Linked DNA regions of Mus musculus. The protein of the gene in region 2 purifies or fractionates together with the protein of the main gene of each other region. This does not show direct contact. Links are inferred from orthologs where the notes say so. Each region holds a gene or a part of one and is shown on either strand. Other genes may lie near its edges.

Region 1 (3,094 bases), on a different chromosome or scaffold from region 2:
CTTTAATGTCAGCACTCAGGAGACAGAAGCAGGTGGATCTCTGTGAGCTGAAGGCTAGCCTGGTCTACATGGAGAGGTCAGGACAGCCAAGGCTATGTTGAGAGATCATATCTCAAAAATAAGAAATGGGGTGGAGGGCAGTCTTCCTTGTAACTATAATTCAGACATAATGCCTAAAATCACTGCATGCTAGTTTCTTAGTTGTTAATGTTTAAATGTTTCTATTATTCTTTTACTAAATTCTATAGAGCAGTAACTTTTAAATAATAAAAACTAGTAGTTTTTATGTCTCAAACTTTTGTGACAATGGGCCATATATTTAAAAATTGATATAAAACCTTAACCACATAATCTCATTACAAAGTAGTTTTTATAATCAGACTTAATACTCCAGTGAATCACTTAACTTGAAGATTTAGTTTTATTTCTAACAAACTGATTCTTACTGTTTTGATCACTGGACTCTTGTTTTAACATTTTCTCCTAATTGTAGTTAGACAAAATGAGATTTTTTTTTTTTCAAATCGTTTTAGTAGTCAGGTTTTATTTTTAAAATCTATGAACTGGGTAATGGTCAATACTGTAATAACCTGGAGTCTTAAATTTCAAAGTTTAACATTTAACAAGACTTGGTTGCACAAATTTACCTTTTAAAATAGCAAGAAATATATACAACTTAAAAGAGTCTGTTTAGACAAATGCCCTTTCCTTTTCCTCAGACTGTTTTGAAAAGTGCAGTATAAAAGCTTAGATGTGAAGGCACCGCATAACCTGCATCCCATGGCTCTCCTGTGCATCATCACCATAATCAAATGAAAATACTGTACTGTAAATGTAATGGATCAGAACTTTGAGGAAGTATTTACTTCTCATTAAAGAAAATACACTTTTGGCCCATTTATCCTTTCTAAAACTGCTCTTCAGAAAGAAAAAAAGAAGTCTGGAAAAGTTATGTAGATTATGTCAACTACAGAAAATACCCTGATCTTACACGTTAATGAGAGCCAGAGGATATGGGGTAATACAACTGCAAATGGTAAGACATGCTTCGTAAAGTAGCTAGCCAGAATAAAGCTAACCAGGCCTTTCTAAATTACCCTTGTAAGTTCGGCATTTCTGTAAACTGAAAGAAAGAGCAGATCTGAACCATTTTAATGTAATCTTACACTTTAGAGAACTTGTATTTGCTCTTGCCATGTTGAAATCTCTGGACAATGATTTATGGTCGTGGTTTCCCAGTTTTAGATGTAAGGAAGCATACACCATAGTCAGAGGGACTTCAAAGGCAGCTGCATTTGTTATATAAAAACTAGAAGTCTGGTGTAACACAAGTTGTGGTAAGATGCACTGGGGTGGCCTAGAAAAACCCTGGTGGCATATAATTGACTTCAAATCCCATTTTAATGTGATCTTTTTTACTACAGAATGGAAGTTTTCTCCTCAAATTAAAAGGACACTATCTTCACAGGAATAAATCATTTTAGTTGAAGTAAACTTTGTTTTTTTAAAAGCTAGTAAATCTTATTGTCCAAGAGGCTAAAACAACACCTTTACAACCTGGTCTAATAATTTGATATAAGTGCTTTAATTACATATAAAAGAGAAGAAAATAATATATATGCTTTAATCAGATTAGTTTCATGAACAAATAAAATAACACATTAGAGAAAAAAGTACTTAAAAATAGTTGTATTTATAATCCACAATTTGCTCAAATACTGGTTTTTCTTATAAACTTTCTACAGGATGTTTTTAAACAAATTCTTCACATTTCACGTTGACTATGTACTTACGGAACTTCAGGGAAATAGTTCTGTTTTTAATAGCTTAATCTGTACTAATGGGATGGCACGTGGTCACATGCAGTCCATGTGGGATTCTAACATAACATTGAGTGAGTTTTCTGACGTGGACCATCCCTTTGACGCTGACGGTAATGCATCTGTTGAAAGAAGGGACTGTAGATTTGGGTTACTGCTCTCTGCATCTTCCAGTTTTTCTGTATTATCTTCCCAGTTAATGTGGAATCTTGTGACTCTGGGATTAGATGCCAAAATATTCCTTTGAAGCTAGAAAGAGAAACATTTAAGTGGTAAGCACTAAGGGAGTTAGATTACCCTGTGCAAACTGGGTGGTTCTCTTTATCTTTCTAGAAGACTAAATTCATATGCAAAGGCATCAACAAGTGAAGCACTTACACATAACTAATAAGTAAGGACCACAATAGCAAAGGGCTAAAGAACTATTAGCCTTCAGAAACAAGGTAAAGGGAAGTGAGGGGTGGGGAACATATTTCACCCCCCAACAAAGTACCTGCTCTTATACTTCTGCTACCTAAAGAATACATACGGGAGGGAAAGGTCCTTTCGTATCCCTGTTAGAGGTAGTTAAATAAGTGTGTCTTTAGCCTGGTGTATTTTCAGGTTGGGAATATCGCTCACTGCCTTGGCCATACTCTGGAAAAGTCCCTAGGTTCAATGCTAAGCACTAAGAAATAAAATACAATAACCAGACTTCAAATGAACAATTTTCCCCAAACAAAACCCCTAATTATTGGGATCTTAGCAGTAATATATTAAATCTCAGTTTCCGAAACAGTAATATGTTCTAGTCTCTTTTACTGCCATACAAAGGTTCTACAAAGAGTAATCCTGGATCAACAGATCTTCAGACTATGAAAAGCATCCCACCCTCACCTGCAGAAAGGAGAACTAACTCTAGTCTATGGTAAGGCCTAGCAGATAGAGTACTTTAGTTAGTCACCAGTAACTAAACCTCTTAACCATTCCCAGTGGAAAATCTAAAGGTTTTTAAGAAGTGTTTTTATAAGACTATTGAATCAGATTTTAATGTCTCAGAATTTAACTTGTTATTATCAGAAATACTTAAGAACTTTAGTTTAACCTTTAAGAATAGCAGGGTAACTATATAGTCATCCTAAATATTAATGAAAATAACCACAAGCTGGACATGGTGGCAACTGTAATCCTGTGGACATCTGAGGGAGGAAGTATGCCACAGTTCAAAGACAGCTTGAGCCTCAACAGCCTCAAAATCTGTCAAAGAAATAAACACAACCAGTCTAATCTTGCCC
Region 2 (3,829 bases):
GCAAGTACACTAGACTTGCTCTGTGTAGTGTATATCTTCAGACCCATCTCATTTCCTTCATGAACAAAAAGCTGTCTCTCAAAGCAGTCCCTGGGTCAAGAACCCACAACATTCCAACAACAGTGTTTCCTGCAAGAATCCAAGTGAAGACCATGGTGGCTGTTCTAGAATTGGTTGTAGGTGAACTCGCTCATTTTAAGTAATGGCCAGTGGTAGGCAGGCCCTGAAATATACTCAAACTAAGGCTGACCAGTATGCAGTGGGTGACAGCCCCAGAATTAAAGTCCTCTCCAAGTCCACAGTGGAAAAGTCAGGAGGAGTGGGTTCATAGCACTCCCTAAGACTTATCTGGAAACATGACCCTGCTGGACCATCTTTAGACATGGATGAAATGACTAAGGCCTGACCAGCATCCCCATGTTCACATCCTGTACCTGTCCACCAATCTCCTGAGGCATCCTAAGAGACTACATATTCTAGAGTAACCTACTAATTTCACAGAGTCACATCAAAATATATTTCTAAAGTCCAAAAGAAAGAATATCCTAACCTTCGGAGATTTTTTCTTCTTTTCTTTAATGAAGTCATCTTCAGATTCTGAAGCTTGTCTAAACTGCAAGGTTCCTGAGTTGATGTAAAATCCTCCATACTTTGTAGTCAAAGAAGCAGGAACAAGTTCATCATACTAAAGGGGGAAACATATCATCAGCTCCCACTTCTGCTTCTATGGTCCAAGGTGCACAATTTAAGAGATGCAACTGGGATTGCCTGTCACTCTTCAGACACGATGCTAAGACCTCCTCTCTTCAATCACTAATGTGCAAGCTACTAGATGTTTTGGAAAGAGGTTTTCAAATAAAAAAAAAAATTCTGGGTTTAGGAGGTCTCTTCCTCTTAAGCTCAATGCTGCTTGTGCAAAGAGGACACACTGAGATACCACAACCCCACTTCCCCACTGTCAGTATCATACAATATCATTCCACTAAGTACTCACCGCCTCAGAGTTATCGATGAAAGAATCCGATTCATCATAGCCATACCCCATATCAATCAAGTCCTGTATTCGGTCTTTCCTACGTTTCTTTCCACCCTGAAATTTAAAAGGAAGGAGTCACATGCTTTTTGGTAAGTACAATTAAATGTTGCTTTGGGCTAGTGATTAAGTTGTAAAGTAATGAAAACACATACTACCCCCCAACCTGTCTCTGTCTCTCTTCTTTCTCTCACACACATACATAGTCCAATCCCGCCCCTAAAACTTGAAATAGAGCAGATTTAATCTGCATAAATGGCCTAAGAAAGAAGAACAAAACAGATTCTTCTGCTCTGTAACAAAATAGGTCCTCTAAGGCCTTATTTACGCCTTTAACTCACACACTGCCCTGCCACATAAGAGTTCTGTACCTTAATACATTGGTTTAATAGCTGCATTCTGTTTCCTCTGAATACTACATCTATTTCCAGGTCACTTTTGACTATCCACTAAATGATCATGAAATGCTTGGAGACTATTCTCACTGATGAGGCTGTTGTCTTGCCCAACAGAGAAATCTTACATATTTTTCTTCAAATTTCCGTGCAAGGGCCTCCACCTTATGCCTTTCTTTTTCTTCATCATTGAAAGGATCCAAGACATCTTTTTTCTGGAAAGAGATCATTTCACAAAAAATAAAACACATACATACAAAAAGCCATAGTCTTGGTTAAATAACCTTCCATGATTACCCAACACTTCTAAACTATGTAATAAAAACTATTATTCAGAAATAGCAAGATAAAATACCATTTTTTACTGTGGAAAAAACAGATTTTCACTAAGTGTATCAATTTATTGTAATCCTAGCTACTAGAGAGGCCAAGGCAGTGTGTGAGTTAAAGGCGTAAATAAGGCCTTAGAGGACCTATTTTGTTACAGAGCAGCCACATGGTGGCTCACAACCACCCGTAATGAGATCTGATGGCCTCTTCTGGGATGTCTGACATACAGTGTACTTATGTATAATAATAAATAAATCTTAAAAAAAAAAAAAAAAGATAAAAGGAAGCTGAGCGTGGTGGTGCACGCCTTTAATCCCAGCACTCGGGAGGCAGAGGTAGGCGGATTTCTGAGTTTGAGGCCAGCCTGGTCTACAAAGTAAGTTCCAGGACAGCCAAGGCTATACAGAAACCCTGTCTCGAAAAACAAAACAAAGAAAGAAAGAAAAAAAGGAGGGGAGGGGGCGCTAGAGAGATGGCTCAGTGGTTAAGAGCACTGACAAGGGCTGGTGAGATGGCTCAGTGGTTAAGAGCACTGACTGCTCTTCCGGAGGTCTGAGTTCAATTCCCAGCAACCACATGGTGGTTCACAACCATCTGAAATGGAATCCAATGCCCTCTTCTGGTGTGTCTGAAGACAGCTATAGTTACTCATACAAATGAATAAATAAATCTAAAAAAAAAAAAAAAAAAAAAAACATTTTAAGAAAGGTCAATAGGCTCCAAGATGCTTCTAGAATAGTCAAGGTTCAAAAAGGTTAAAAATGATAGCTCAGAGCATAAGAATACCAACTTCTCTTTAAAGGACTTGGATTCAATTCCCAGCATCCACATGGTAGCTCATAGCCATGCCCAACTCCAGTCGCAGGAAATCTAAGACCTTCTTCTGGCCTGATAATACTGTATGCATGTGGTACATAGACACATACGCAAGCCAAATAAACACACACATTAAATAAATAAACAAAGTTTTTTAAATTAAAAGCTGTGCTCTTTTTGGCAGCATACCTATTAAAACTGGAATGATACAGAGAAGACCAGCAAGGCTCCTGTTGCAAAGATGACATTCGAATTCATGAAACAATACATATTTAAAGAAAAAAGTTTAAAATCCCACAAAATGTAGTACAAGTTTTTGACAACCATTCTGGCTTTAGAAAAATGGTTTGAGGAGTTTAAGAACTTAGCCTACTGGTAGAATGCTTGCTTAGCAAGCACAAGCATTCATGAAAAGGAAAGAGGAACCAAAATACATAAAATATATTATTTATTTATTTATTTATTTATTTATTAGTGCTTCTCAAGTCAAACACTGATTCACAGAATCCTTACCCTTGGAAACATACCTTCAAGGGTCTACTGTCATGACTCTTTTGTTTGCCAACCTCAATAATCATTCTAAATACTTTCATGTAATCTTCTAAAGTTTGCTTTTATTCTATAAGTTTACTCATGTGTTTTTTTTAATTTATTTTATTTATAAGAGTACACTGCAGCTGTCTTCAGACACACCAGAAGAGGGTATCAGATCCCAGTACAGATGGTTGTGAGCCACCATGTGGTTGCTGGGATTTGAACTCAGGACCTCTGGAAGAGCAGTCAGTCTCTTAACCACTGAGTCATCTCTTCAGCCCCCAACTCCTACATTTTTTTAATCAAGTAAATTTTCCATGTTCTTGGGCAAGGAATTTTAATATTAATAGTGATTATAATCTATATGCTAAGACTTCAGAGTGCACATAAAATACTGAAAAATAGATGCTTGCTTCAAAATAAATGTCTCTAAGCCAAGTATGAAGGTACATTCCTGTTATTTCAGCACTTGGAAAACAGAAGCAAAAGAATAATCCTCTAGGGCTGGGGAGATGGCCCAGAAGTTAACAGCACTGAACGTTTGTTCTTCCAGAAAATAGGGGTTCAATTCCTGGCACCCACATGGCAGTTCACAACTGTCTGTAACTCCAAGATCTGACACTCTTACCCAAATATATAAGGAATCAAAACACCAATGCACACACACAAGAAAGTCGAAAGCCAGTCCATACTATATAGTATTGCTTGATTTCCAACCTCA

What was found.
Region 1: the proteins of Ubn1 (region 2) and Asf1a purify together in Homo sapiens (affinity purification with mass spectrometry; 6 studies listed by BioGRID and IntAct, counting the BioPlex papers as one, with this or other methods). This does not show direct contact. The link is inferred for Mus musculus from reciprocal best matches to the Homo sapiens genes UBN1 and ASF1A.

What each region holds. Positions count from the first base shown.
Region 1 is NC_000076.6:53,606,640-53,609,733, reverse strand, and holds the end of Asf1a (histone chaperone ASF1A), read right to left. Parts: intron 2,602-3,094; exon of another isoform or gene 2,070-2,601; coding exon 1,857-2,069; 3' UTR 752-1,856; coding exon of another isoform or gene 720-751; 3' UTR 509-719; downstream 1-508. UniProt on the Homo sapiens protein: Histone chaperone that facilitates histone deposition and histone exchange and removal during nucleosome assembly and disassembly.
Region 2 is NC_000082.6:5,059,796-5,063,624, reverse strand, and holds part of Ubn1 (ubinuclein-1), read right to left. Parts: intron 2,851-3,829; exon of another isoform or gene 2,743-2,850; intron 1,644-2,742; coding exon 1,557-1,643; intron 1,091-1,556; coding exon 995-1,090; intron 686-994; coding exon 551-685; intron 1-550. UniProt on the Homo sapiens protein: Acts as a novel regulator of senescence. Involved in the formation of senescence-associated heterochromatin foci (SAHF), which represses expression of proliferation-promoting genes. Binds to proliferation-promoting genes.